Saccharomyces cerevisiae S288C: one gene and its partners. Changing the gene in region 1 together with any one later gene gives a genetic interaction. Each region holds a gene or a part of one and is shown on either strand. Other genes may lie near its edges. The genes, in order: RER1, SYS1, ICE2 and RGP1.

What was found.
Region 2: mutations in RER1 (region 1) and SYS1 together harm fitness more than expected from each alone (negative genetic interaction), as found in Saccharomyces cerevisiae (5 studies listed by BioGRID, with this or other methods).
Region 3: mutations in RER1 (region 1) and ICE2 together harm fitness more than expected from each alone (negative genetic interaction), as found in Saccharomyces cerevisiae (5 studies listed by BioGRID, with this or other methods).
Region 4: mutations in RER1 (region 1) and RGP1 together harm fitness more than expected from each alone (negative genetic interaction), as found in Saccharomyces cerevisiae (4 studies listed by BioGRID).

Annotation. Positions count from the first base shown.
Region 1 is NC_001135.5:108,496-115,737, reverse strand, and holds RER1 (protein retrieval receptor), read right to left. Parts: upstream 3,823-7,242; coding exon 3,256-3,822; downstream 1-3,255. Other genes in the region: YCR001W (uncharacterized protein), read right to left, coding at 1-53; YCL001W-B (uncharacterized protein), read right to left, coding at 1,714-1,968; YCL001W-A (uncharacterized protein), read right to left, coding at 2,197-2,658; YCL002C (uncharacterized protein), read left to right, coding at 4,063-4,104, 4,181-4,930; PGS1 (CDP-diacylglycerol--glycerol-3-phosphate 3-phosphatidyltransferase), read right to left, coding at 5,068-6,633; LDB16 (Ldb16p), read right to left, coding at 6,947-7,242. UniProt on the Saccharomyces cerevisiae protein: Involved in the retrieval of endoplasmic reticulum membrane proteins from the early Golgi compartment. Required for correct localization of SEC12, SEC71 and SEC63 in the endoplasmic reticulum.
Region 2 is NC_001142.9:426,426-434,179, forward strand, and holds SYS1 (Sys1p), read right to left. Parts: upstream 5,776-7,754; coding exon 5,164-5,775; downstream 1-5,163. Other genes in the region: CYR1 (adenylate cyclase), read left to right, coding at 1-4,812; COX16 (Cox16p), read left to right, coding at 6,219-6,575; dolichyl-diphosphooligosaccharide--protein glycotransferase subunit OST1, read right to left, coding at 6,796-7,754. UniProt on the Saccharomyces cerevisiae protein: Necessary for the targeting of ARL3 to the Golgi. Involved in protein trafficking. May serve as a receptor for acetylated ARL3.
Region 3 is NC_001141.2:190,838-199,299, reverse strand, and holds ICE2 (Ice2p), read right to left. Parts: upstream 5,706-8,462; coding exon 4,230-5,705; downstream 1-4,229. Other genes in the region: AVT7 (Avt7p), read left to right, coding at 1-1,369; YIL089W (uncharacterized protein), read right to left, coding at 3,084-3,701; rRNA-binding ribosome biosynthesis protein UTP25, read left to right, coding at 6,105-8,270; YIL092W (uncharacterized protein), read right to left, coding at 8,333-8,462.
Region 4 is NC_001136.10:723,427-732,324, forward strand, and holds RGP1 (Rgp1p), read left to right. Parts: upstream 1-4,832; coding exon 4,833-6,824; downstream 6,825-8,898. Other genes in the region: ATP-binding cassette glutathione S-conjugate transporter YCF1, read right to left, coding at 1-4,125; HPR1 (Hpr1p), read left to right, coding at 7,152-8,898. UniProt on the Saccharomyces cerevisiae protein: The RIC1-RGP1 complex acts as a guanine nucleotide exchange factor (GEF), which activates YPT6 by exchanging bound GDP for free GTP. It is thereby required for efficient fusion of endosome-derived vesicles with the Golgi.

The DNA of each region.
Region 1 (7,242 bases):
TTGCTCTCACCATAAGAATCAATATGTTTCAATTTCTTCAGAAGATATAACATGTTATTTAGAAGAGAAACTGCATTCTAAGTGGTTTACGTAGAACTCCCACATGGGGAGTAAATTGAAAAAAAGCCTGTAAGAGGTAGGTTTTGCAGGTGCTATTTGACGACTAAATTGTTAAGCATCAATATATATTCAAAACAAAACAATCAATTGGCGGAGCTCACCTATTACTTTTGTTAGTATTGTCATCGTTATTATATCTCAATATTTCCAATTATTTACGGAGCATATCATCACCTTCCTACATGCTGGTCTTCAAGACTACTTGAGAAAGTATTAATAAGATAATTGTATAATATTGAATGAATGCCAATAGTTAGTACGATGCTACCATTATATACAATGTTGTGACAGTGAGATTTAATGCACGTTATGTTTCGTTCTGGGCGTAAAATAATTAGTATAAAGACCGATTAAGCTATCCTTTTTGAATCTAATTCCATTATTTCAGGTACTCTGGCCTGTAGATAAAAAAATTGATTGTAATTCGTGTGATAATGCAACAATAACAATATTTTGATAGAACGAGTACAACACCCGATCCTCTTTTTATGCACAGACTTTAACTAAAGAATGATATGAAACTATTTAACGTGATTTTTTCCTCAATTTATCGTGAAAGATTTTTAACTACAAGTCATGAATATGATAATGGTTACACCAGTAGGTTTGTACTATAATGTGGGTGATGAAACACGGATTATACGCAATATACGATTCTCACCGCATGACAAGTGGATCCCGGGTGGGAAACTGAAGAAATCAATTTTGAAGGTACTGCTCTTCTATACTACTCCACATTTTGAATAATTATGAAGTTTTAATATGTTTGTTATTTGGGGTATATGAATGGGGCGGAAATTCATTTGAATTTTAATTCTACGTCAACGAGTCCTCTCTGGCTAAAATGTATCTAGTACTTTCAATGATTGCTCTAAATCGCGGACATTAAGGACGAACAGAAAAGTATAGGCATGAGTACTAATGGTAAAATTGTAAACCCATCAACATATAGCTTAGATGTTCAAAAACTTTTTCAATCATTACCTTTTTACTGTTAAGTTGCTTTACCAACTTTTTCTTTATTACTTCTATTGAATAATAATATATGAGCAAAACTTCCACCAGTAAACGTTTCATATATCCATTCAATGAAATATATATTTCTTACTATTTCTTTTTTAACTTTCGGAAATCAAATACACTAATATTTTAAATTTTATTTTTTAAAAATAAACTACTTTTTATTTTTTACTTTTTTTAAAAATATAATAAAATCAAATATCATCATGTGACTTATTTGTACTATTTTTTCAATGAATAGCTTTCTGTGGATTTTCCATATTGTTTGGCGCTGATCGCCATGCCATGTTTATGAAATGTATAGGTACTGTACTATAAGCGGAAGGGGAAGGGTTCGGTTTATATGAGTGATTTAGATAAATTTTAGAGTTTAGCTACGCTGCAAGCTATTGAAACTATTGTGTAATAGAAGTGGTAGCAATATGTAGCAAAGAAGACAAGTAATCCTTATATTCTGTTTGACAAGTGTTAGATAAAAAGAAAAAAATTCGAAGTTAATGTTGAAATTTCACTTATTTTAGTCATCTTTGAAAAGTTCATCAAGGTATTGGATGGTATATTTTAAGACACAGCCTATATCTGTTGGTTTGTCAAGTTGCTCACTGTGATTTTTGAAGTACTGAGTACGAATATTTTGCCATTGTTGTTTCCACTATTCTCTATTAGGTCTAGGTATTTTTCACGTTTTTTCACGTCGTTCCTTTTTAGTACACTATCTGTAATAAGTAGTGTTTCTATTGCATCTAATTTTGCAGCTCTCTCGGTTTCTTCCGCGCCATACCATGCTTTGTTATCGTCTTTGCTCAAATGTTCAAGGAAATCGTCCATGATACGGGATTCTTTCAACTTTTTAGTGTTATGCACTATCATAGAGTATTCAGGATTTCTTACAACCTCATCGATTCCCTGTAGATATTTTGTAGAACTAGAACAATGGGCGAAAACAGCTTATCTCGGTTCCTTAAAACTGGCTTATTTGCTCCTTCTCTGCATATATCAGAAATTTTTTCAGCAGTGTCTTCGCATAAAATCCAGGGGAGCATAATATTATTATTCTCAGTTCATCAAAATTGAAATTTCTAACCACTGTGTCATCCGTTCTTTCTTGTCACACAATTTGCTAATATCAGTTCTATCTTTCTTTTTTGGAAACTTCAATTTTAGTTTTAATATAATTGAAGACGCTTTCAATAAGCAAATGCCAGAAAATCCTTCTTGCAGAACCACCGTAGCAGTTTCTGAGTTTGATTTGGAGTCGATTGCTTCTTTCAAAAGTTTTCTGGCACATTTGTTAAAGTGGCGCTTAATAGCAGTAAATAGATGTTCACTGGTGCTAGCTATATAGCGCAGATAATTCTCTATTACATCAAATTCGTGGGATAAGTTTTTTAATCTTACAGCTACTAAATTGGTAACTGTTTTTCTTATCATCTCATTCTTCTTAGTTTTGAATAATTTTTCTGAAATATAACCTTGTCCTTCTTGTCTATTATTATTGATAAATTGTAAAAAGGTCATCTTTAAGTTGACGAATCAACGTGATAATTGTGTAACCGTTATCTTCGCTGTCGTTTTTGCTACAGATATGATTTTCATTTTCCATTGAAGTCTATTGTGCCACTTAATCAAAATGCGTTCGATGATAAATTTACTAAGTTCTTTAATAACTTGGAAAACTAATACACTAAAACACATGCACGCCACGGAGTATGGACATTATAAACGTGTGAACATTTCAAACTCACAACTTGCATGACATTACTCTCTCTTTTGCATCCTTTATTCCTCGACATACCCCATTTCTCACTAATTTGGTATTAGTAATTATGCAGAAAGGTTCGAAGCTGTCAATTCTTTTTAGACATGTTTCTTGAAAGTCTTTACAAAAATTTATCAATTGGAGGCATCTCAAGCTCTCCATTTATAAATGGAAGAAAATGAGCCTCTTCCCTTCAATTTTGCTTAATCAATAACTTCATGTATTCTTCCAATATAAGAGAAGATGAGTAGAAGGAGAAAATAATCACAATTATTCTGTAACTATCATATAATTTTGTTTACATATAATTAAGATACGAATGTGTTCGTTGAATAGGTATGTGGAGTCAGGGTATATCAGTTAGAAGAATGAGAATATTTCTTCTTACCGATATCTAAGGGTATATATCTATATTTTATCATATGTTGAATCTGCCTTCTCATAGTTAAAAAAAACAATAATATGAAATACATCAATAAGATGGGCCAAAATACTGGAATATCGAAGATTGAAAATAGCGACAACAAGAGGGAAATGACAGTGGCTCTAATGCTGTTATACCAGAATTTGAACTCTGGTAATCTTCTGATGAATGGACGGAATTCTTCTGATTTTTCTCCAGCTTCCAATTCGTTGTTTTCTTCATCTTGCTGTAAGGACATATCGAATTTTGGGGTCAAAAAGGCTAAAAATTGATTCAATAAAAATAGACCTAGACCATAACAAATCACATACCAGCCTTCGGCCATTGTAATACGAACCATAAACAAACATAACAAACCACCCAATACAGCCCACCTCTCCTTAGCGTGAGGAGTGACTTTATCCAAATAGTGTTGATATAATAATTTCATTGTATTCATCTTAGTGATTAAGGGGTTACTTGAACCACCGTTCATTGTATCAGAGCTATCGTAATCCATCTTGCTTCCTTTTTTTGATACTCTATGCCTTTCGTGTAACACTTAGTCCCAAATCGAAATCGCCTTTCTTGTATCGTTATTTTTCTTATGTATAATTCGTGTTCTACTGCAGAGGCGTGTTTTGACAAGTTTTTTTTTCCTCTGCGAACGAAAAACCCACAATTTTTAACCTCATTGAGGTAAGGTTTTCCAGAGGAGAGGTTGAGGAGCCCTGCGAAGCAATTATATTGAATCATTCACATGCTTGTTATTGTTCTGCAGGGCTTGGCAGGTTTTTTATCAGTATGCATAATTGAAGGAGAAAGTATACATGAAAGGTTTGACTAACTAAGGGAGAAAACTTCCATTTCTTACATAGATCATCGCCATTCTATGTCAAAAGCGCTATAATAAACTTCATCGATCTATTTACGGGCTTTCATATGATTTATTTCTGCTAGATTTTGTTGGTAATGGTCTGTACTTGTATTGCGCGTTGCATTATTGTTATTCATCTCTGGTGAGGGAACAACTGTCTCAAAGATTCCCACTTTTTTATCCGTTGAATGATGCCCGTAGTATACCTATATCCAGTTTCCTCATTCTAAAAGATTTTTGCGTTTCCTGTTGCTGCATGATGGTTTTAAGGCAGTTATACTATTATAGGTCAACTAAACATATTTATCAGGGCATTTCCATTACTTCCATAATAATTATAAGTGTGTTCCTTGTATTAGGCATATTTACATATGGCTGTTCCATCTCTAATTTACCGTTGAAAAATTCAGGTAAATTTGGCGTTTTCTATTTGGAACACATAAATTATTTGTGGGTAATGGCAAATCTGCTTAAATGTTTCAAGTATGTGCCTCAAATGAGTATAAACTGGATGGGATGCTCAACAGTAGGTTTATCATCAAAGTTTGCATTGATATCATTTTTGGCTGAATCTATCGATTTATTAGGTAGACTGGTAATACCGACCAATGCATTGTTTTACGAGATACCATTTAATTCAACGCCCTTTTGGGTAAAATTGATACAATTTGTCACCTTATTGGTCATACTTTGTCAAGTTCAGTATGTTTACGTAGGACGGAAACCACGGTTGCCAAAAGGAAAACTATAACAAGGTCAGCTCATTCTCTACCTTAATGGCTTTGCGATGTTTGCAAATTTAAGGAGTTTTAGATAATGCATTTATTATTACTATTTTTTCTTTTATTTTTCCATATTTACAGGCGACATACTATGATAGAATAGAATCTAAAGTTTTTTACCCAAAATGGAGGTAGCTATCTTTACACCAGTGCCAACATGTCTTTCTGGGTCTGATTGAAAGTCTTCTAGAGTTACAGGTTTTGTATATTGTAATAAATTATCTAACTCTGCTTTCATTTTTTTTCTTAGCTCTTCATCTCTTGTAATAATGAGAGCATTCGATTCCAAATCTAATGAATACGCCCTTCTCGTATAGTTTGAAGATCCTATAACCGTGATAAAGGGTTTCCAATTGTTAGCATCATTTTTATCACGAGCGGAAAGCCAAATACCTTTTGCGTGATATGACCAACCATTCGGCTTATTTACTACGCCTCTTTGCCATTCTCTTAATGTAATAGCATGATCTTGTCTGTACCTACATACATCTTGTAGAAATTTTTTTGACAGGTACAAGTAAGCACCAGGTAAATTTGATGAGACGCCCTTTGATTGGTAAAAGCCGTTTGCAAAGGGGGAAGCTGTTATTACATTTGCCTCAGCAACCGGCGTTGCCAGCAGTTTTGCTTTGATGTCTGGCAAAATATTGAAGTATCCTGCAGTGAACGTCCAAGAAATGGCATTGCTTGTTATAGTGGAAAGCAATGACAATATTGTTCTTTTTTCGGTCGATTTGTCATTATATTTGGGAAAAAGTGGAGTGAATTGAGAAATTGGGTAAACTAATGTGGAGAATTGACCCACGGCAGTAATCGGGAGGCTTTGTTTAGAACTCTTTAAAAAGCCATCTAGTAATTGAGATGCTTCCCTTAAAAACAGCCTTTTATTTTTCGTCGGTTCAACAGTAGGATTCGAATCTGGCCAAATGATGTTGATGCTACCATCCACCATTGGCTTTATAATCTGATAACTGAAGGAACTTATGAGTTGATGTAATTTAAAATAATAGTTGGAGAAGTTTCGAGATTTAAAGAGATAGTATCTATCTTGTCTGTTGGTGAAATAGTCGTTCGAAAGGTTGGCTCCCGAAAGAATGACCTCGTTATCAAACCCATATATTTTCATATGTTGTAAGCCTAAACCTTCATTAAATCTCTTGGGAACCAAGACTTTTTTCCAACCATGATAAGCAGGCGTCTTGTACAATCGGCAATCCACTCTCTCTGACCCATATTTGGCTACTAAAGACGATAATAAAGTGGCGGAACAGGCGGAAGGCAATTCTCTTGTTCCTCGAAGGCCATCAAGTAGAAAAGAAACTTTCAACTTGGGGTTCTTGGTCAATGCCTGGGATATGCAGTCCACCAACTCAGTCTCGCTTTTGCCTAAATACAGAGACGCAATGAATATTCTATTTTGTGAATTAAGTATTTTTGTCTTCAAGAGATCGTAAAACTGAGATGGAGATTCGATTATATCGATTTCTTTTGCTTGGAAATGAAAGCATGTTTGTAAATTCTGTTGTAGGGACTTAGTGATCGTGTTCAAATAATTGCCAAATGGAGAAGGGTTCGCAGCGGACATCTGCCTTTTTATATTGAAGGGTTTCTGGAGAGGTAGGGATAATAATCTGTAATGAGGACGAGTGAGTTGGAGCAAACGAGTCGTCATTAATATATGTTATCCTGAGTATGCTATTAGCAATTATGGACAAGCTGGGTGTCCTACATTATATCTACTTTCTTGTGTGGGCTGCTTTTTAGGAGTGTTCGGGCGTGAATGTGTCCATGTGCTACTGCTTTTTTATTTATGTTTTCTTCTTCACACATGGGTTACTGGCAGAAAATAAAGAAGAGAGAGGATCAATATATATATATATATGCTAAAAGATTATAATATGAAACTTATTTAAAATCAGGCAGTTAGGAACTCAACATATTTCTATCATTCACTTGTTAGTGCATGAGAAGAAGTAATTGCAATATCACCTAGAATTCCTTCGTAAAATCTTTATATTAACGATGTCCGCATCACTGGCATTTCTTCGAAGCTTAGCTCTATTAGAAAGAGACATCAAAGTTTCATTGGTGACGAATGAGTTTTGGTAAGTGTCAGACCTATCCCAAATATCAGTGGGTTCATCGTCTGTGGTGGTCGTGTTGAATGAATCATTATTATAATGCTGAATTTTTTCGTTAGTAGGCGTTTGGCAAGGGGTGATGTAGCAGTTCACATCATGCGTTATAGTCATATCATCAGCTCCAGGCTCATCATGGAATT
Region 2 (7,754 bases), on another chromosome or scaffold:
GTGATCATGCCTGAAGGTCCTAGGAAGTCGGTGTCAATGGCTGATCTCTCCGTCGCTGCCGCAGCACCTAATGGTGAATTCACATCAACTTCCAATGATAGATCACAATGGGTAGCACCTCAAAGCTGGGATGTGGAAACCAAAAGGAAAAAAACAAAACCTAAAGGGAGATCGAAATCAAGAAGGTCAAGTATAGATGCTGATGAACTTGATCCCATGTCACCGGGGCCACCTTCAAAAAAAGACTCTCGTCATCATCACGATCGAAAGGATAACGAATCAATGGTCACTGCGGGTGACAGTAACTCAAGTTTTGTTGATATATGTAAAGAAAACGTTCCGAATGATAGCAAGACCGCACTCGATACTAAATCTGTGAACCGCTTAAAAAGTAATTTGGCTATGAGTCCCCCAAGTATACGATATGCTCCATCAAATTTAGATGGGGACTACGACACGTCTTCCACTTCCTCATCTTTACCGTCCTCATCTATTAGTTCAGAAGATACATCTTCCTGCAGCGATTCCTCTTCGTACACTAACGCGTATATGGAGGCCAACCGAGAGCAGGATAATAAAACACCGATCCTGAATAAAACGAAATCGTATACCAAGAAATTTACATCCTCTTCGGTAAATATGAATTCACCAGATGGTGCCCAGAGTTCTGGATTATTACTACAAGATGAGAAGGACGATGAGGTCGAGTGCCAACTGGAACATTACTATAAAGATTTCAGTGATTTAGATCCAAAGAGGCACTATGCTATTCGTATATTCAATACTGATGACACTTTTACGACTCTCTCATGTACTCCAGCGACTACCGTCGAAGAGATAATACCTGCACTTAAAAGAAAATTTAACATTACAGCGCAAGGGAATTTTCAAATTTCCCTGAAGGTGGGAAAGTTGTCAAAAATTTTGAGACCAACTTCGAAACCTATTTTAATTGAAAGAAAACTTTTACTTTTGAATGGTTATCGAAAGTCAGACCCACTTCATATTATGGGTATAGAGGATTTAAGTTTTGTTTTTAAGTTTCTTTTCCATCCTGTCACACCTTCTCACTTTACTCCTGAACAAGAACAAAGAATAATGAGAAGCGAATTTGTTCACGTAGATTTAAGGAATATGGATCTGACTACACCTCCCATCATTTTTTACCAGCATACGTCAGAAATAGAAAGTTTAGACGTTTCTAATAACGCAAATATATTCCTACCTCTGGAGTTCATTGAAAGCTCGATTAAATTATTAAGTTTGAGAATGGTTAATATTAGAGCATCTAAATTTCCTTCCAATATCACTAAGGCGTATAAACTAGTATCTTTGGAATTACAGAGAAACTTCATAAGAAAAGTACCGAACTCAATCATGAAACTGAGTAATTTAACGATATTAAACCTTCAATGTAATGAGCTTGAAAGCCTACCGGCTGGATTTGTTGAACTGAAAAATCTGCAATTGCTAGACTTGTCTTCAAACAAGTTCATGCACTACCCAGAAGTTATTAACTACTGCACCAATCTTTTACAAATAGACCTATCATATAATAAAATCCAAAGCTTACCACAGTCCACTAAGTACCTAGTAAAGCTTGCGAAGATGAACCTTTCTCATAACAAACTAAATTTTATAGGCGACTTATCGGAAATGACAGATTTGAGGACGCTGAACCTAAGATATAACAGAATATCATCAATTAAGACAAATGCGTCTAACTTGCAGAACCTTTTTTTAACAGATAATAGAATTTCGAACTTTGAAGACACTTTGCCGAAACTAAGAGCCCTTGAAATTCAAGAGAATCCAATCACTTCTATATCCTTCAAAGATTTTTATCCAAAAAACATGACAAGTTTGACGTTGAACAAGGCACAGTTATCGAGTATTCCTGGAGAATTACTCACCAAACTATCTTTCCTCGAGAAACTTGAACTTAATCAGAATAATTTGACTAGACTGCCACAGGAGATATCCAAGTTGACTAAATTAGTTTTCCTTTCAGTGGCGAGAAACAAACTAGAGTATATTCCACCCGAGCTATCTCAACTGAAAAGTTTGAGGACATTAGATCTACATTCTAACAACATAAGGGACTTTGTTGACGGTATGGAAAACCTTGAACTAACATCGCTAAATATTTCATCGAATGCATTCGGTAACTCTAGCTTAGAAAATTCTTTTTACCATAACATGTCATATGGGTCAAAGTTATCTAAAAGCCTGATGTTTTTTATTGCTGCAGACAATCAATTTGATGATGCTATGTGGCCTCTTTTCAATTGCTTTGTCAATCTGAAAGTGCTAAATCTTTCTTACAACAATTTTTCAGATGTATCGCACATGAAACTTGAGAGCATTACCGAATTGTACCTCTCCGGTAATAAGCTCACGACATTGTCGGGTGATACAGTTTTGAAATGGAGCTCTTTAAAGACTTTAATGTTGAATAGTAACCAAATGTTATCTCTGCCTGCAGAATTATCAAATCTCTCACAGCTAAGTGTATTTGATGTTGGAGCAAATCAATTAAAGTATAATATATCAAACTATCATTACGATTGGAACTGGAGGAATAATAAAGAACTAAAATATTTGAATTTTTCAGGAAATCGAAGGTTTGAAATAAAGTCATTTATAAGTCACGATATTGATGCTGATTTGTCAGATCTGACAGTATTACCTCAGTTAAAGGTACTAGGTTTAATGGACGTAACTTTAAATACTACCAAAGTACCGGATGAAAATGTCAATTTCCGTTTAAGGACAACTGCATCAATAATAAATGGGATGCGCTACGGTGTTGCTGATACATTAGGTCAAAGAGACTATGTGTCATCTCGTGATGTTACCTTTGAAAGATTCCGCGGAAATGACGACGAATGCTTACTATGTCTTCATGATAGTAAAAACCAAAATGCAGATTATGGCCACAATATATCAAGAATTGTTAGAGATATTTACGATAAAATACTGATCAGACAACTGGAAAGGTATGGAGACGAAACAGATGATAATATAAAAACTGCACTTCGTTTCAGTTTTTTGCAACTGAATAAGGAGATTAACGGAATGCTAAATTCTGTTGATAATGGTGCCGATGTTGCCAATCTTTCATATGCAGACTTGCTAAGTGGCGCTTGCTCTACTGTGATATATATCAGAGGGAAGAAACTCTTCGCTGCAAATTTAGGTGACTGTATGGCTATTTTATCCAAAAACAATGGTGACTACCAAACGCTAACCAAACAACATCTCCCAACAAAGCGGGAAGAATACGAGAGGATCAGAATATCTGGCGGGTATGTCAACAATGGAAAATTAGATGGTGTTGTAGATGTGTCTAGAGCAGTGGGTTTTTTTGATTTGCTTCCCCACATTCATGCTTCTCCCGACATATCTGTCGTGACATTAACAAAAGCAGACGAGATGCTTATTGTAGCAACGCATAAGTTATGGGAATACATGGACGTGGATACAGTTTGTGATATCGCGCGTGAGAATAGTACTGATCCACTCCGTGCCGCAGCTGAGTTGAAGGATCATGCCATGGCTTACGGCTGTACAGAGAATATTACAATTTTGTGCCTTGCTCTTTACGAGAACATTCAGCAACAAAATCGGTTCACTTTAAATAAAAACTCTTTAATGACTAGAAGAAGTACTTTCGAGGATACTACATTAAGAAGACTTCAACCTGAGATTTCTCCGCCAACAGGTAACCTAGCAATGGTCTTCACTGATATCAAAAGCTCAACCTTCTTATGGGAGCTATTCCCTAACGCAATGAGGACCGCAATAAAAACTCACAATGACATTATGCGTCGTCAACTACGAATTTACGGTGGTTACGAAGTAAAGACAGAAGGAGACGCCTTTATGGTGGCATTTCCTACGCCAACTAGTGGTCTGACATGGTGCTTAAGTGTTCAATTAAAACTCTTGGATGCACAATGGCCGGAGGAAATTACCTCAGTTCAAGACGGCTGCCAAGTTACGGATAGAAATGGTAACATTATCTATCAAGGCCTATCAGTTAGAATGGGTATTCATTGGGGCTGCCCAGTTCCAGAGCTTGATTTAGTGACTCAAAGAATGGACTATTTGGGGCCGATGGTCAATAAGGCAGCAAGGGTCCAGGGCGTCGCTGACGGTGGTCAGATTGCAATGAGTAGTGATTTTTACTCTGAATTCAACAAGATAATGAAGTATCATGAGCGAGTAGTGAAGGGCAAGGAATCTCTCAAGGAAGTTTATGGTGAAGAAATTATCGGAGAGGTTCTTGAAAGAGAAATTGCCATGCTGGAAAGTATTGGTTGGGCATTTTTTGACTTTGGCGAGCATAAGCTAAAGGGACTCGAAACCAAAGAACTCGTTACTATTGCGTATCCTAAGATTCTTGCTTCCAGACACGAATTTGCATCTGAAGATGAGCAGTCAAAATTAATCAATGAAACGATGTTGTTTCGTTTAAGAGTCATTTCAAACAGACTGGAATCTATAATGTCAGCTTTAAGCGGCGGATTTATTGAACTAGACTCTCGGACGGAGGGAAGTTATATTAAATTTAACCCTAAAGTTGAAAATGGTATTATGCAATCGATTTCTGAGAAGGATGCGTTGTTATTTTTTGATCATGTAATTACTAGAATCGAATCCAGTGTGGCATTATTACATTTACGACAACAGAGGTGTTCAGGACTGGAAATTTGCAGAAACGATAAAACATCTGCTCGAAGCAATATTTTCAATGTTGTTGACGAACTTTTACAAATGGTTAAGAACGCAAAGGATTTATCAACTTGAGTTCTGTTCGTAAATTATGTACCACCCTGTTACTCGTTTCATATTCACGCTAGAGAAGTACCTCAGCTTACTAGATCCATTCACACATTGCAAGTATACTAAAACTATATAAAATTTAAGTACGTAAACTCTTTACTTATTATTATCTTCAATGTCATCACGTACTTAATTATGTTAAATATAGATTGTGTATAAATAAGAAATAGGATCTGTTTTGAAAAATTGGCCAAAAAGGCAGATTTATTAAGCCTATAGAGATAAGGTTCTTGCCATTTTTCATACATTTACTGTTTTCTCTTGAATGACTATAATATTGCCAAAATTGCCTCGAATATGTTGTTTCATCTCCTCTCATATTTGGCTTTCTAAGTCTTTTAGTTGTATTGGTGATTGCTCCAATTCTGAATGATTACTATGCTGCTGACTAGGCGTAACCAATCCAACTTCTCCTTCATTAGGATCAACCAAGCCCTCAAAAAAGGTGTCTCTAAGCTCTCTCCATCTTGTTGTCCATGTCCCCAAAAATATTAGTATTAAAGATGATAAAATTTGAAGAAAAAACCAAGAAAAAGAAGGAAATTTCCGAGTATAGAGGAACACCACAATAAAATTGATGGCATGTATAGTGATAGCAAAATCCCATGCGAGTTTACTCCGTCCAACGATAACAGTTAAGAAAAAAACACATATTAATGAATCCAGAAGCCATAACAGTGAGATTGATAAACCGTATGCGTTCGTAAAGTCGATATTCTCCCAAGAAAACAGCCATTCCTTGATATTGAGATCATATCCCGCTAGCTTCGCCCAACAATAAAAAAGAACGATCGCTGTGGTGTAATAAAAAATCTGTAAAAGAACAATTTGAAGTCCAATCTTACTTGGAGAGAGAGAATCTTGTTTGAAGATCTGGGAAGGTTTCAACTCATTCGGCACTCGCAAATACCTTCTTATCGAAACCATGTTACAGTAATTCAAATGCCTATTTTTTATCTCACTTCTATGTGTACCCTTCCTTAGCCTTCCTAAAGATCATCTCTTAACATGAAGTTACAGAATATTACCGTGAATATCGCGAGCTACGAATATTTTGGGTGGGGAGATATTTATTCATGATTAGCCTTGTCCTATAGTGTTACAATGGAGCAAATTGTTCACCGTTAGTATTTTGAATACGACAATATTAAATGAATAATAGCGCCTATCTCTTGTTACGTTTGGCGATTTGTATACCTTGTTAAATAAACTGATTAAAAGCCGGGTTATGGCCGTACACAAGTTATTAGAAAGCAAATACACTTCCTTATATCTGGTCACCTAGTTAATAAAAGGAAGTCTTTAATTTTGGCAAAAACCACTATATATATTAGTCAACAACTGAAATATTACCAGAATTTGTCTCCTAAATGTCGTTCAGCGGAAAAAAATTTAGGTCTAGAAGACAGCAGCTAGTATATGAAGCATCTTTAGCGGGGCGATACAAAAAAGCATTGAGTAAGCACCCCTTTCTTTTTTTTGGTTTACCATTTTGTGCAACAATAGTATTGGGTTCGTTTTGGTTGTCAAGCTTTACAGCGATCAAGTACGAGCAAGGCGATCGTAAAGTTCAGGAAATTAATGAAGAGGATATCTTGAAAATAAGGAAGAATCAAAGGGAATTTGATATTAAAGAAGAATATTATCGTTTACAAGGTCTTTCTGAAGAGGATTGGGAGCCTGTGCGCGTCGCTAGGTTAAAGGATGAATCTGAGAATGTCTGGTAACATTCAAAACGTGAACATCTTTGTTATTCTTCTGTCCTTAAACTACTAAACAAAAAAAACTATGACCATTGATTGTGCAAAGAAAAGACCACGAGAATGTCTAGGAAATGATTGTAAATACCTTTATTCATTGGAAAATTCTTATCTATAAAACTTATAAAAAATTAAATACTGAATTTATTGCTCTGCATCATAAGGTATATATCATTCAAACGTGAACTCAGTTAGTTACGTTCATGTTCAAAGTTTTTAAGACAAAAACTCCCATTAGTGCGGTGAAAATATAGCAAGCAATAGACAGAGGCTTCTTGAAAAAAGAGCTTTTCGGGTAGTCGTACTTTATCAAGACTTGGCCATTGGCAACTTGACTAATCAAATTTCTGTAACTGAAAGTTAATTTAACGTGACCTTTATTTAGGTCAAAGTATGATTTCTGGGTTTCTATAGAAACATTTGTAAAAGGGACTGGAGAATCAATATCGAATATTTCGGCCCCTTCCGGAAGAAATACCGATAATTCAACATTATCATATACAGTGTCCGGTGGGCCGTTTAGAATTGGGATAGAAGCAACGAATTTCTCGTCTGAGCCAGAGGATACATGCAAGAAATCGGACAATTTATTAGTCCAACCGACAGTAAAATTGTAGTTCCAACCTCCAAAGATTGGGAATCTTGGTCTTATAAAGAAATGGTCACGTTCTGCATGCGACGTGGAAACAAGGCCAACCAAATCAGTGAAATAATGATCAGTAGCTCCCTCAGGCAGGAGCATGTCTAAGACAGTAACAAAGTGAGTTTGTCTCATATTCTGAGTTTGAATCTGTTTCATTAATTCTAATCTTGAAAATCCTTTAGACAGTTTTGCGGCTTTGTTTGTTAATTCATAATATTCCTCAAATTGTATTGTGGAAGCCCAATGAGAAAGCCAAATATCTCTTCTCAAATTCACTACCTGATTCAATGGGGCATTGTGGGAATAAACAATTGCTAAGGTTTCGTTTGAAGAAAATCTCGGAATATCTTCCCAAGGCCCAAACTCAAAAGAGTTTCCATTAGCTTTTCCCAGTAAACTCTCGTCATTTGGGGGGTGGTACTCCTCAAATGATGAGCTACCAATCAGCGTAAAAGAGGCCTTCTTGGTATCGTAAGCAGAAAGCGGCAATCTGTTCGTTTCCC
Region 3 (8,462 bases), on another chromosome or scaffold:
TCTGGTAGGGGTTATTCTTACATTATTGGCGGCGGTAACATCCGGTCTGGGTCTCTTTGTGCTATCGAAATGTTCCAAGACCTTAATTAATCCAAGAAACTCTTCTTTCTTCACATTATGCATGCTCACCTATCCCACTTTGGCCCCAATTTTTGATTTGGCAATGATAGTTCAATGCTTTGGTGTGGGCTTAAGTTACTTAGTTCTTATTGGTGATCTCTTTCCAGGACTGTTTGGTGGTGAAAGAAATTATTGGATAATTGCATCAGCTGTAATCATCATTCCCCTATGTTTAGTGAAGAAACTAGATCAATTGAAGTATTCTAGTATTCTAGGTCTTTTCGCGCTAGCATACATATCAATTCTGGTGTTCAGTCATTTTGTGTTTGAGCTGGGAAAGGGTGAATTAACAAATATATTAAGAAATGACATATGCTGGTGGAAAATTCACGACTTTAAAGGATTATTATCAACTTTTAGCATTATAATTTTTGCTTTTACGGGATCAATGAACCTATTCCCCATGATAAATGAATTAAAAGACAACAGCATGGAAAATATCACTTTCGTTATCAATAATTCGATATCCTTATCAACAGCACTATTTTTGATCGTTGGTTTATCAGGATATTTAACCTTCGGTAATGAAACCTTGGGTAATTTAATGTTGAACTACGATCCTAACTCAATTTGGATAGTAATTGGCAAATTCTGTCTTGGCTCAATGTTAATTCTTTCCTTCCCGCTTCTCTTTCATCCGCTGCGCATAGCAGTTAACAATGTCATCATCTGGATTGAGATCACTTATGGTGGGGCAAATCCCGAAGAGGACCCACAAGTTTCGGAATACACTCGTGCTTCCAACCTAAGACCAATTAGCATGACTGTGGAAGATCCAGCCCAGCCCAGTGATGCACTAGACGCAACTTCTTATAACGAGCAAGAATGTTTACTACCTAACGGGAACTTTGATAATGGTTCAATTGAAAGTCAAGAGAACAATAATGATGAAAGAGGGACTATGGCGGTCGCCGGGGATAACGAGCATCATGCGCCATTTGTTAAGTCTAGATTTTACTGGATTACTGCATTATTACTAATAAGCATGTATACCTTGGCGTTGTCTGTCCAGTCATTTGCACTGGTTCTTTCATTTGTAGGGGCTACAGGTTCAACGTCTATTTCATTCACTTTACCTGGATTATTAGGTTACAAATTAATAGGCTTGGATTCTTTGGCTATTGGGAAGATGATTCCACCAAAAGATAGATTTTACAAAAGGTGCAGCTTATTGCTAGTCTTCTACGGACTATCTGTGATGTTTTTGTCATTGTATGTAACTGTATTCAACCGTTCAGATGAAGCCTAAATGGACCAATAGTCATGCAAGAGAAGTATAAAACAGTATATAGTAAATAGTAAATAGAATCAGAGACAGCAGACTCAAAGTTTTATGCTTAACGCGATCATCGACTAGTTTAATACTTTATTCTATGGCACTTACAAAAAGGTATTACCCTGCTAAACAATAAAGATCCCTGAAAAAATGGAGCAGGCTCAGAGAATGTGACTTCATGCGCTTTAGTGGTAAAAATACTGCCTAAATAGTCCCTAAAAAAAAAAGAATAAAAAATAACTCCGAAGCGGGGAGTCGAACCCCGGTCTCCACGGTGAGAACGTGATGTGATAGCCGTTACACTACATCGGATTTGATTAGCTTGATTTGAATAGAAAAACATGTTACCATATCAGTAAATATGAATGATCTTTATTTATATATATATGTCCGGAAAATTGTAGGAATAAAAACCTGTTGGAGTAAAAATCAACCATCATCTATCAACTAGTAGTTACACTATCAATATATTATCATATACGGTGTTAAATGGTGACGCAAGTTATGAGAAGCTGTCATTGAAGTTGGAGGAAGCTGAAATGCAAGGATTGATAATGTAATAGGATAATGAAACATATAAAACGGAATAAGGAATAAAACGGAATGAGGAATAATCTTAATATTAGTATGTAGAAATACAGATTCCATTTTGAGGATTCCTAAATCCTCGAGGAAAACTTCTAGTATATATACTGTATACATAATATTATAGCCTTTATCAACAATGGAATCCCAACAATTATCTCAAAATTCACCCATTTCTCTCTTATATACCATAAGAATATACAGTATTTATCCCTAATTATTACTGCCTTTCAATTACTGTTCATTGACAACTGGGAACAAATAAGCAAGCCGTATTAATAACCACGGTAATTACTGTTGGAACGAGAGTAATTAATAGTGACATGAGTTGCTATGGTAACAATCTAATGCTTACATCGTATATTAATGTACAACTCGTATACGTTTAAGTGTGATTGCGCCTATTGCAGAAGGAATGTTAAACGAGAAGCTCAGACAATACTGAAGCTGTGTTAAAGACCTATTAGTTGAACATGTTATGGTAGGTACATATATGAGGAATATGAGTCGTCACATCAATGTATAGTAACTACCGGAATCACTATTATATTGGTCATAATTAATATGACCAATCGGCGTGTGTTTTATATACCTCTCTTATTTAGTATAAGAAGATCAGTACTCACTTCTTCATTAATACTAATTTTTAACCTCTAATTATCAACAATTACATATAATTATATGTTCTGTTATGGTTTTCTGTACTATCGAGGAGAACTTACAGTATACCCAATATATCCATAGATTTGCTTTTAAAAAAATGCAATTTACATTATTATTTGAAGATTCACCTGTGTTTCTAAACACGAAATTAAAAAACGTCAGTAATTCATATCGTTCTTAATAATTATTTCTCTCTGCGTTTTTATACCCTGTCACCCACTCTCCCACTACAATGTTAATCTTTACGCATCAGCTTCCGGAGACTATTAACATTTTTAATCAATTCAGCCGATGTTATAATCTGCTTCATTTTCCGAAGATCATATGTGATAATGGCACGAAAATATCGAACGCTAGACAGTGTGCAGTAGTCCATTTTTGTTTCAATCGCAATTAAATGCTATCCAGATTCAAGATACTATCGAAAAAACTACAGTTGTTAAACCTCGTCACCGCCTGACGATGATTTGTTTGCAAAAGAATCCTCATACACATCAAGAGGCGCACTATGTGATTCTAAATGGTCCCCGTAAAAGGCGAATAACTTCATATTAAGAATTGCATTAAGTTGCCAAAAGAATAGCTCTAAGAGTCTGTTTAGATCAACAGTCTGATCAGTTTTAAAGAACTTATTAATCTTTACCAACGAATAAACCCCAAAACAGAACGTTCCTAGACATAGGAGTGAATGTTTGAATTTGAACCACTTGGGGTGGTGAGCGTTTGCATTACAGCGAGAGCACGAAAATTTCGAGCACCGTTTTGTTTTCCTTTTGAAGTAGTGCTTCCCAAAGTTACCATCTTCTAGCAGTAGGAGTTGGTGCGTAGCAAAAATAAACAGTGATATCAAATCAAAGACAAGTTGTACCTTCAAAAACTTTGCAACTTTTGGATGCTGCTTCTTTAAAGGATGCAATGGCGGAATTAGAAATGTGTCAACTATATAGACGATATCGGCAACTCTTGATAATTTTTTAACCATTATAAAAAATCTAGATCGGGGTACTTCAGTTTGGTCTATTGCGACACTCGATTCCAATTCCCTCGTACGTTGCATTCCCAAATTTAAGAATGGATTCTTCTCATTATTCACTTTTCTAAGAGGGAAAGAATAATAATCCAAGGATGAAGATCATCTTAAGTACCTCTTATCGTTGTGATAAGAGAAGAAAAAGGGTTCTTGGAAATTAGCAAAACAGAAAAAAAAAAACCGAAATAAAATTATCTAGAATAATCTGCATCGGCTTCAGGTTAAAATCTACCACGTAATAAAAGTAGTATTTCAGGGAAATGTTATATATTTATATATTTATGTGTCTACATATTAGAGTATGAGTTAAAATGTTCATTGTATTTATTAGAAAATAGTGGTGAGCGTAAGGGATTTTCACTATGAACGTGCAAGGGACTAATGCAAATAATAACAAAAAAAGAAACTAACCAAATGTAAAAATGGTTCAGGAATGGCACTTAAAACAGATATCATCTATCACTTAGTTATAAGTCAGTTGGTATTTCACCTTCCTTTTTGTCTTCGCGTATTTGGCAAAGCTGGTAATGCGGCTCTTTTGACAATGCATCAGCTTCAACTACCAGAACCTATTAATTCTGTAGCGTATACCAAAATAGTACAGAAAATGTTGCACCAGTTCCAAAATCCCCATGAATCTACTATAATTTCTGGTTGATCTACGCCAAACCACTTTTCACTGCAACCCCATATGCACAGGTCTTTCTTTAGCTCACCTGAATATTGTAAAATCAGGTGAGTATACATAGCAATTAATATGCAAGGACTGTACCAATACAATCCCTTCATGATCCTGCGACTCTTGCGCAACTGTTTGTCATTTTTTCTTTGTAATGCTGGAATAATCCTCGTTGCCGAGTAAAACATCAGAACTCTAAAGCATAAATTGATTACTATAGCTGGGGAAACTGATTCGCTTGCCATCTTAATTGTAACTTGACAAAATTCATTAATGGATAGCGGAACACTAAAGGTGAAATTCTTGAAAAATTTCCAAAATGGTTTAGATATCAAGGATACTTTTTCGAATGATAGAATGCTAATGAGTTTATCATGAAAATCACCGGTTTTCTTTCTTCCTCTAGGAATAAAGGACCCCCATAACACCTCTGCATTTTTCAATATGACATTATGAAAGTAGCACAAAAGATTGTCAGCTGTGGGCAGATTTCTTTGATGTTTCTGCCAGACGTCTTTGAACAAATTTAAAATTTCATCAGTCGCGGTAGTAGCTAATTTGGGGGAAATTTCATAAATACAACGAACAATATACGCAAAAAATAAAGAGCTCTCTATGACGGATCCTTTTTGACTCACAATACCATACAACCCCAGTCCACATACCATAGACAAAACAAGTCCTAATAAGGACGCCGTTTGGATGGATAACGGCCATATGGGGGTGACATAAATCCGATACAAATAGTACAGCGATGCGGTAATCACACCTCCGGAGGTTAACAATGAGGAAATAATCCACGTGTTTGAATTCAAGTCATTTGATAACCATCTATTAGTTTCCCCGACGGCCTGAATGGCTAAAATAGTGAAAAAACCTTCCGATAGAGTAAAAAAAGGTGTGGACTTGGTAAGCACGAATTGCCACGGTTGTACAACAAATCGATAGTAGTAATAATATAAGACGTAGTTAATTTGATTGGAATTCAAGCTATTTTTCAAAGCTTCCAGGAACGACTCCGACTCATTATATTTATTTTTCAGAACGTTTCCCAACTCATCATTAGAAAATCCAGACAAAAACAGGTATAGCAAAGATGCAATGATAAAATGTTGTGAGTAATACAGACAGTTGGTAAAAAAAATGTATAGTCTTCCTCCATGTCGTCTTGCCAACACGTTAAGAGTCGTAGTTATGAAATATAAAGTGAACAGTGTCACCGTGAAGGAAAGCCCGCATTCCAAACCACCAACTTTAAACGAGATTGGAATTGAAAGTAGTGTGAATAACAGATAGAAACATGCTGCGCAGATTCGTCCACTCTGCATGAAGCTTTTGGACAAACTGGTCATCGTTGCCTAATCTTTAGCGTGATCGGCCACAAACAGCACCTCTCTAATAGATCTAAGCAATTACGCGATGGGCTGAGGGGAGCAAAACGGAAAAAGAAGCTTCACGAATACTATAAGATCCACCAACACTTTACGCACAGCCCTTCCAGTATCACTACACCTCGATCCTTTACCTATGTTCATCTTCTCATCAATCATCTCTCCGAAACCAGTAACCGCTCCAGTCCCTTGCTTCGCTTCAAGCTGATGCGATTCCTCGTGTACCATGATCTGAAAAATTTTTCCTTCGCAATACTACTATAATTTAGCTCATCGCATATTTTGCAATAATATAATACAGGGAATAAACTGCATTGGTTCAGTGAGACGGTGGTATAATTGCGAAGTGACCAAATTGTAATGAGTGACAGTTCTGTGAGGGAAAAGAATGATAATTTCCGTGGCTATCGGAAAAGAGGAAGACAAGAACTGAGGAAGATTAAAAGATCTTCTGCCAGAACTGAAGGCGGAAGCACAGAAACATTAGAGGACGTAGCAGAAGATATTGACCATAGATCCGATGAGGATGAAGTGTCCGATGTCGACAGTGGCGATGATTTCGATATTGAGGATGAAGAGGGTAAAAAGGAAAAAGTTTATGACGCTTTATTGACGATTCTCAAATCTGAACATCCAGAGCCAAAAAGAAGAAGGCGAGAGGCTGACGAGAGTAACAAAGCTCCTGCCGAAGTTGGGGAGGATGAGCACGAAAATACAGAACATGGACCAGTGGATGATCAATTGGAGATAGAGAATGGCCTTTTGGGTAATCACGAGGATGATAACGACGATGACAGCAGTGGAGACGAAAAAGATATAGACAGTGAAGATGAGCAAGATCCTTTCGAGTCTCATTTCAACCAAGTTCCGGAGAAATTCGTTGATAAGTTGTCGAATGCTTTCAAGACCAAAAGTGTAAAATACAAATCCGTAAAGGGCTCACTAAGTGACAGTGAATCATATATATATGCTAAACCGGTAGTAATTGGTGAGGAAGCATTGGTGGAAAGTCCGTACAGGTCATCATCTATATATTCATACTTTTTGAAACAAAGGCTAAAAGTGCAAAATGGACTATTGGATAAAAAAACTGATCCATTGACTGCTTTGCAAAAAAAATTAGTAGACCCCATGTTTCAGTATAAAGACATATTATACGAGTATGACTCCTACGAAAAGGACGAAGACGAGTACAGAGATTTATATGCTTTGCATGTTTTGAATCACATCTACAAGACAAGAGATAGAATCTTGAAAAATAATCAAAGATTACAGGATAACCCAGACACTGAACACCTAGATCAAGGTTTTACAAGACCAAAAGTGTTAATTGTAGTCCCTACTAGAGAGGTGGCGTACCGCGTTGTAGATAAGATAATTTCAAAATCTGGTATAGATCAGGTTGACAAGAAGGGAAAGTTCTACGACCAATTCCGTGACGACTCCTTACCTCCAAAGTCCAAACCAAAATCTTTCCAACACATATTTAGGGGGAACACCAACGATTTTTTTGTTGTCGGTCTCAAATTCACAAGAAAGGCTATAAAACTTTATAGCAATTTTTACCAGTCTGACATTATTGTATGTTCGCCATTGGGTATTCAAATGATCTTAGAAAATACAGATAAAAAAAAGAGGCAGGACGATTTTTTGTCCTCAATAGAGTTGATGGTGATTGATCAATTACATTCAATAGAATACCAGAACATATCTCATATTTTCACCATCTTTGACCATCTTAACAAAATCCCGGATCAACAACATGAAGCTGACTTTAGCAGAATTCGGATGTGGTACATTAATGAACAAGCTAAGCTCTTCAGACAGACAATGGTATTCACAAAATACATCTCGCCAGCGGCTAATTCATTAATCAATGGTAGATGCCGTAACATGGCAGGAAGATGGAAGAATCACAAGGTAATAGGATCAGAAAACTCCAGTATTGGGCAATCCGGTTTGAAAATCAGGCAAATCTTTCAAAGATTTGACATTATTGGGAATTCGATTATTGAAGAGCCTGACTACAGATTTAAATTTTTTACAAGTGTCATCATTCCTGGTATTGTCAAATCCACCGGGTATGAAGACGGAATACTGATTTACATTCCTGATTACACTGATTTCATTCGTATTAGAAACTACATGAAAGAGAAGACGACGATTTTATTTGGGGATATAAATGAGTACTCTAGCCAAAGACAGCTCAATGCAAATAGGTCATTGTTTCAACAGGGGCGTCTAAAAGTTATGTTGTATACGGAAAGACTGCACCATTATAGACGTTATGAAATCAAGGGTGTCAAGAGCGTCGTTTTTTATAAGCCTCCAAACAATCCTGAATTTTACAATGAAGTTGTCAGATTTATTGGTAAGAACGCCTTTCTAGGTAATACCGATTTAAACATATCCACTGTTAGATGCATTTATAGCAAGCTTGATGGTCTTTCACTCGAAAGAATTGTGGGGACGAAAAGAGCAGCTGTATTATCGCATGCACAAAAGGAAATTTATGAATTTAAATAAATATTAGCACTGCCACAATGTATAGAGTACACAATGAAGAATATTATCATTCACAAATACTTTTAATCGCTTTCTTTCTTGTTCGTTGTGTTCACAAGAAAAGGGTTTATTACTTCAGGGAACTTTCTGCTCTTAGTTTCTATATTTTCGCTTTTTGCTGAACCAGTTGCTTTATTGGTCTCTGCGTCTACC
Region 4 (8,898 bases), on another chromosome or scaffold:
ATCAGTGTATTGGTTAATGGGATCAATGTTCTCACGAACAGTGCCCTCAAAAACTTGAGAATCCTGAGGTATGATTGACAATTTATGTCTCAAATCATATAACCCAATCTCGTTGATGGCAATGTTGTCGATTACGATGTTTCCCTCGCTAGCCTCAATCATCCTGAATAATGCTAGCGTTAATGAGGATTTTCCCGCACCCGTTCTACCCACGATACCAACTTTTTCATTTGGTTTAATGTGTATATTAATGTGCTTCAGAACAAGATCAAGCTCCGGCCTATAACGAGTGGAATAATTATTAAACTTTATATCACCCTGGCTCGGCCATTCTTTGGGTGGTCTGTGGCCTTCAACTATTAAAGGTGCCTCGCTCTTCAAATCAGCATATTCCTTTATTCTTTCCACTGAAACAATATTCGTTTCAACTTCCACAGTCATTCTAACAATCCAATTTAACGTTTGAGTGATTTGTAAAGCATAGCTTAATGATAAACCCACCATACCTGCCGTTAATGTGCCTTGTTTTAGTCTAAAAACGGATAAAGTTGCAGCACCTAGAATGATAATTGAACCAATAAGTTCCAACCTATATGCTAGCCAACGGTTAGCATTGATAGAGGGATAGAACGCACTCATGTTATTATCAATGCGGCATTGATTAATGTGGGAAAACCTTTTCTGTTGAGAATAACCTCTAACCGTTGCAAGGCCACCCAAAGTCTCTTGGAAATGAGAGTAGATTGGAGACCTAGTAATAGAGTCTAAACGACGCAACTCCCTTGATGTTCTCAGGTAATACTGCTGGTAGTAGATGTAAAACACACTTAGTGGAATGATAATGAAGATAAATTGCCATGTCGTCGCACAGATAACCGTAATAGTGAATGTGACTTTCACTGCATTGACGAAAAACTGAGAAAATGTTCTTCCTAATAAAGCATCCACTTTGTATATGTCATTTGAGAATCTGTTTAGAATTCTACCGATTGGTGTTGTTTCAAAAAACGTCATTGGGGCTCTCAACACAGAGTTTGTCATCAAGTTGTGTAAATATTTGGAGGCATGAATGGTACAAAAAACCCAGAGAACGATTGTCTGGATTAATGTTGCCAGTGCTGAACCAATACCAAGTGCAAAATAAATGGCCAAGTAACGCGCGGCATTTGGATTAGATCCATAGCGGCTATTAACTTCAGACCAATGTTTCAACCAAACGTTACCCATAACAGAGAGGAACATCGATATAACAATAAACAATATGAATACACAAACGCTTTTCGGGTTGCAAGCTTTAGCGTACTCTAGGTAAATGTTCCACTTTACTTTTCCCTGTTCACGATGCTCTCTTTTAGCAATATTTTCATCGTCACCAAAATCGATGCTTCCCAAAGTTGCATCACTGGCCCTCCTTAAACTTATGGCGTCAGAGTTGCCAAAATCCAAATCATTTAATTTCTGCAGTTGTTCCAGCTCTCCTTCTACAGGTATACTACTTTCTCGAACTGAGCTTTCAGAGGAGTCACCGAATTCATTCGACTTACCGTTATTTTTTTTACCATAGTTGTTGAGCAATTTCCATAATGGCGAATCAGCGTCCTTCGTAATCTCATCATATGTACCCTGCTGTGTGATTTCTCCATTATCTAATAATGCAATAGAATCTGCGATGGATAACGCGCTCACCTTATTAGTGGCTAATACCTTCGTTTTTGTATGTAATAAACCATTTGGACCCAACACATGTTCGATCAAGTGCCTGGCAACGTGTTCATCAACAGCTGCCAAAGGATCATCAAGTAAATAAGTGTCAGCTCTCGCATAAACTGCTCTTGCTAAAGACAAACGAGCTTTTTGTCCTCCAGATAAGGAGATCCCTTTCTCGCCAACTAATGTCTTATCTCCATCCATCAAAATTGCAAGATCAATAGTTAACGCACAGGCCTTGATCGTTTTTTCGTAAAATTCCGCGTCGTATCTATGCCCAAATAAAATGTTTTCCTTTACAGTACCATTCATTATCCATGGAACTTGTGAAACATAAGCAACAGAACCATGAACGGTGGCGAAACCTTTAACCCTGAATAGATCACCTAACATGCATGACAATAGAGCTGTTTTACCACTGCCAACTTTACCAACAATACAGGTCAAATTTCCTTTTTTAGCTTGGAAATTAATATTCTTTAAGGCTACTTTGTATTCCGGTTTCCGTTGCCATAAAAAGGTAGCATCATCTCCAATGTTAATGGCTACATCGCCAATATTTTTTACTTTTGGTAAACGCTGAACCGAATCTGGTTGTAGCTCTTCATTGGTAAAGAATGTAAATAATCTACCAATAGAAACAGAAGCTTCGATAAAAGAATTTAAAACCATAGGAATAATCATTAGTGGGAATGAGAGCAGGTTGAACAGAGTCAAAGCAGGGAAAACTAAGTCAGTAGTCAATGCTCTATCCTCAGTATAAACAAATACAGCAAAGGTACAACATGAAACAAGGAATGGTACTATATTGAACTGAAAACTTGTCACAGCCATATAACATCCTAGTTTTGTAAGATTTTTTAACTCTTTGTTATTTCTTACTTCTTCTAGCTTTTCCCTATAAGGCTTCTCCCATGCATATAACTTCAAAGATTTAATATTGTTTAGTATTTCACTTATAACACGGGTCCTTTCATCTTTGTACTTCATCTGGGATTTTTGCAACTTCTTTTGTATCCTCATCAAAAATGAGTTCAATGGCATCATAATAACTAGTATAATCACGCCAACCCACATGGAATTTCCCAACAACTTATACAGAGAATATAAGCAAATAATGATTTGAAAAGGCCCTGACCATATTAAATTTAGCCATTGTGTTAAATCTTGTAATTTTTGAACATCCACACTCATGAGATTGACAATGTCACCGGTAGAGGAAAGTCCAGAAGCCTCATTAGATAGCACTAAGGATTTTTGATATATTAAAGCCGTTAGGGCGCTCTTAATATACATGCCTGTGTTGAAGACATTCAGGAAATATTGATGCAGGACAGATGTCTGAGTAAAGCCCACCAGAAACATAGCAAACGCAATCAAAAACCCTCTTACAATGGGTAATTTTTGTGGGTGGTTATTTTCAAACCCTTGAAGAGAAGAATGGTCATCCTGTCTCTCACTGTTATAGTCTGTGACGAACTTGATTAAAATCCTTAGTAGTTGTGGTTGAGTAAATGCTAGAACATCATGAATTGCTTTAAAGAATGCGGCTAAAAGCATTTTAGATCCAAAAGTTCTGCATATAGCCCATGATAATGAAGGATTTGATTTTTGCTTCAACTCATTTTCCCAGTTTTTCTCCAATTTTTGAGAGAGTTCTTCACTACTAAAGTTCCTCGGTAATTTATATAAATCTGCTTCCACTAAGTATTTTTCATAGCCAGTTTTCATCAAACCTGACATCCAAGAGAAGGTAATCCTGGAAAATATGTTTGCGCTATCGTATGGATTTGGTTTTCTTCTTGTTAAAGTTTGATGTATGTGTTGATGTGGCATTAGCGGCTTCTTTGGAAGAGCTTCAAGTAACAGGATACTGGCACATGTTATTACTTGGAATAACGTTAGTATGAAACCCGTTTGTCCGGAATACCAAATGCCTTCGTAGGTGTGTCTAATTAGAATATTTATTAGTTTAGCAAAATTACCGAATGTTTCAAAAAGCCAATAGAATAAAAGTACCGTATTGGCTACAACTGATCTATCGTATTCTATCCAGTGTAAGGCTAAAGCAACAAATAAAGATAACATTGTAGAAGCATATTGACTTACAATGGTAAAGTTTTCCGCTTCTTCTTTAGAAATATTTAAAGACGCAAGTGAAACAAACGCTATCTCCAACAGAACTAGTGCCATCCTAGAGACAATAATCCAATTCCGCCTATATTTGATGCCAGAGTGTTTTTTCTTGCAAAGGTTAACTAAATCTCTGATACCGAAGGTTATCATGAAAATTGCTGATAGATTTAGGATCACACCGTCGATGAAGCATTGAGTAAAGTCACCGTAAAAGGATATAGGTCCAAACCCTTCAGGAGATCTACAGAGCTTGCAGGCCCATGAAACAAGATTACCAGCCATTTTCTTGTTCTTTACGGTAGTACGATACCCCTAATTTATTCTCAAACTGTTAATTGAAAAATTGTAGGTTGTAAACCAGCTTCCACATAGCAGATGATCACAAGAGGTTATCGCACCTTTTATAGCAGCTGCTAACTTTTTTCATCAATTTCGTAATTACTAAGCCGTAACCTTCCACCGCCCAAGCATCACACCAGGAGTTACATATTTTTGTATTATCATAAAGAAACACACGCCAAGATATCTACAGAAACCAGATGTTAGCATTAGATATATATATTCGTATTGATGCAGCATAACAAGCGTACTATGGATTGCAAAGTAATGTAGATTCCTGACCAGTAGATCTGCTCGCGCAAGAGAAACATTCATGAACTCTAACGACAATAACAGTAAATCCACCTCACGGAGAACGATAAAAGTCTTCATTTCTCCATGAGGTGGAAACGTTGTTTGAATATTAAACATAATACTTGAACTTCTTGTGTAATTTTTATTTTTTAATCGAAGTCTACTCCGAAGTCTCCTATAAAGCGTAAGGCGCGTCTCCAAAGTGCTATTTTTCAAGATCAATTCAGCTTCAAAGAAGCTTTGATACCTACGGGGCAATGCAAAGGCTGCCAGTCGAAACAAACAGCGAAAGCTAGCCCATAATTTCTTGAGCTGTTGATTTTGATTGTGATATTTTTCATACTTTAGAAGAAGATATGCGTGCGCACAGAATCGATACATTTCTCATAAGAGAAAACATCAAACTGGAGATCATACATGAATCGAATTCCTATTTTGGTGGAGAACATATATCAATTGCTTTCCGATTTAAGCACCTAGGCTCACAGCATGAATTGTTCAACTATAAAGAAAAGCTTCTCACTGTCGATAAAGCTGTTGAAGAGAAGTTGGAACAACAAGCGAAAGTGCAAGATGATGGTGAAGGCACGATGGAAAATCAAACCTGGTCCCTAAAATCATTACTAGGTGCCTTCAAAAGAACAGGCGAACCTGAAGAGAGTGTGGATGTGGATAACATGAAAATGCTAAATGAGAGTAAGATGTTAAGAGAAAAAATACAGAAGCAAATGTATTTTCATCAACCTGTAACGTTAATATCCGGTTATGTTCAAATATCGGGGGTCTTTCAATACGATTCAGAGGTAATTTCAGAGTCAAAATTTAAACAAGATGAAGTAAAAATGGTAGGACTAGATATTGTACCTGGACATACGACAAATTCTGTTCTTGCATTGGAAGATGGAGAACATTTCAAAGGTAAAAGAAATTTAACCAACTACCTCAACTCAGATTATACAAATGTGACCAATGGTCTTCTTTTCTCAGAAAGCGGTTCTAGGGGAAGAACAGGTACCTATAACGAACGGACCTTAATGATATCAAACGATACCAGTATAAAAACATTACCTCTTCTTTTAATACCACAGACGCTTTTATTTTCTGAAATTTCTTTAGAACCAGGTGAAGTAAGAACATTCTATTTTAAATCCACAAAGCTGCCAAAAGATATATGCCCAAGTTATTCATCGTCAAAAGTGGCATCAATAAATTACACGCTGGAGGTTGGTGCGGATGTACTTTCTGATGATAATATCGAGAAATTTTCAAATAGAGTCCCAATAACAATAGCACCATATATTAGTTCGAATGCCGAACAGTACACATCACGTCTGGATAAGCCTGCTATCATATTAAAGACAGGTAACATAAAGGAACTAAAGCCACGTTTGTTTACTCGAAAAGTTTCTACGGCTTCTGCTGTATCATTTGGTAGGAGAAAATCTTCTATAATTGACATTGATTCTCCATTAGAAGATAATGAATTTGTCAAGCGTGTCAAAAAAAACTTCATTGAACTGGTGGAATCTAACCAAAATGTGTCAAGAGATATAGACGAACTTATTGACTTGCAAATGGGGGTACAGTTCGGAAAGGATGAGGATTCTTCGGATCCTGAACCCAACGACTCACACTTTTCGAACGAAATGGTGACGTCTGCAGAGTCTAGCCTGAGAAGCGATGCTGTAACTAAGAGGAGAAAAAGTTATTCGGTACGCGATAACATTTCTAACCTCGAGCAAAAGATGTGGAACGATTGTTCTCTCGTTAAGTCAGATGAGAATTCTAATCTTCTACCTCAGCTAATTAATTTACAGAACGCATATCAAATTAACAGAAATAATGAGACTATGGCAAAAGTATCCTTATCAGCACCTTTTTATAAGACAACTGATGATATAAATTTAGTCATTGAATTAGATCCGATAACGACGCCTTTACTTAAAGTGACTTCGTTGACTGTATCCTTAGAATCGTTTGAAATTATAAATCCAAAATATAAGACTGAAGGAAAAGGAATAGGGAGCAAACCAAAAGGAAACTCGGTGTATGAGAAACATTTTATTTGTTTCGATGAGTGCAAGTCCGTATCGGTGAAATTACTTCCTCCAAGATCGCCTACAAACCAGATTACCGGACAATTCAAGACAGATGTTTTTCAACATAAGTGGATGATAGGACTAAAATTTGTAATAATTGCAAAGACAGAAAGTATCACTTTGGATCAATTTTATGAGGATAAAAAGGGCATCCTATTCCATTCAAAAGAGAATTTAGAAGGTGAAGAGTTTACATGTTACGTTCCCATTCCAATACTGTGTACATCCGAAGATTTCATGGGATGGTAAGCAATAAATGGGTGCAGTTTACTCGTATAATTGGTTTTGCATTTGAATCCAATCCAGTAAAGAGGATTTACTATACTCTCTTCATAAAGGGTATGTACAGATACATTTATAAGTTAGTTAACCGGCTTTATTGTCGTAATAGTCATCTCTTGATGTCATGGGTTGCTGTCCGTGCGATTTCAAGACTGCTCATTTCGCACGATGCATATTGCTTCTCTAATGACATTTTTCGTTAGAATGATCAGGTTTTTGCCATAGCTTGATCAGTAAATTAATAGATGATTTTAACAATTCAAGAGGCATTAAAACTTGGGCAAAGGAGTAATAATGTCTAATACCGAGGAATTGATCCAAAACTCAATAGGTTTTCTCCAGAAAACTTTTAAAGCACTCCCAGTTTCGTTTGACTCCATTCGACATGAACCACTTCCATCTTCAATGTTGCATGCAAGTGTTCTCAATTTTGAATGGGAACCGCTCGAAAAAAATATTTCGGCAATTCATGATAGAGATTCTTTGATTGACATTATACTTAAAAGATTCATTATAGATTCAATGACAAATGCTATTGAAGACGAAGAAGAAAATAATCTTGAAAAAGGGTTACTAAATTCGTGTATAGGTCTCGATTTTGTGTATAACTCAAGATTTAATAGATCTAATCCAGCTAGCTGGGGAAATACCTTTTTCGAGTTATTTTCCACCATCATTGATTTGCTAAACTCACCATCTACGTTTTTGAAGTTTTGGCCCTATGCTGAATCACGTATCGAATGGTTCAAAATGAATACATCTGTTGAGCCAGTATCATTGGGGGAGAGCAATTTGATTAGTTACAAACAGCCTTTATACGAAAAGCTGCGCCACTGGAACGATATTTTAGCTAAATTAGAGAATAATGACATCCTTAATACCGTCAAACATTATAATATGAAATACAAACTAGAGAACTTTTTATCCGAGCTACTACCTATAAATGAAGAATCGAACTTCAATAGATCCGCTTCTATTTCAGCTTTACAAGAATCTGATAACGAATGGAACAGATCAGCACGTGAACGAGAAAGCAACCGCAGTTCCGACGTTATATTTGCTGCAGATTATAACTTCGTGTTTTATCATCTAATTATTTGCCCGATCGAATTTGCTTTTAGCGATTTAGAATATAAAAATGATGTGGACAGATCATTAAGTCCCCTTCTTGATGCAATCTTGGAAATCGAAGAGAACTTTTACAGCAAAATCAAGATGAACAATAGGACTAGATATTCCTTAGAGGAAGCTCTGAACACTGAGTATTACGCGAATTACGATGTTATGACCCCTAAATTACCCGTGTATATGAAGCATTCAAACGCAATGAAAATGGACAGGAATGAATTTTGGGCGAATCTACAGAATATTAAAGAATCAGATGACTACACTCTTCGACCTACCATTATGGATATCTCTTTGAGCAATACGACCTGCCTTTATAAACAATTGACTCAAGAGGACGATGATTACTACCGCAAACAGTTCATTTTACAACTATGTTTCACAACAAATCTTATACGCAATTTAATTTCTTCTGATGAAACGAGGAATTTCTATAAAAGCTGCTATTTGAGGGAAAACCCGTTGAGCGATATTGATTTTGAGAACCTTGATGAAGTTAACAAAAAGCGTGGGCTCAATTTATGTTCATACATTTGCGACAATCGTGTTTTGAAATTTTATAAAATTAAAGACCCTGACTTTTATCGTGTTATCCGCAAATTAATGTCTTCTGACGAAAAGTTTACAACCGCCAAGATCGATGGCTTTAAAGAATTCCAAAACTTCAGAATATCTAAGGAGAAGATACCGCCACCCGCTTTTGACGAAACTTTTAAAAAGTTTACGTTCATCAAGATGGGGAATAAATTGATTAATAATGTTTGGAAAATACCTACTGGTCTAGATAAAATTGAGCAAGAAGTAAAGAAGCCTGAAGGTGTCTATGAAGCAGCCCAAGCGAAATGGGAATCAAAAATTTCTTCTGAAACTTCCGGTGGAGAAGCGAAAGATGAAATAATCAGACAATGGCAAACTT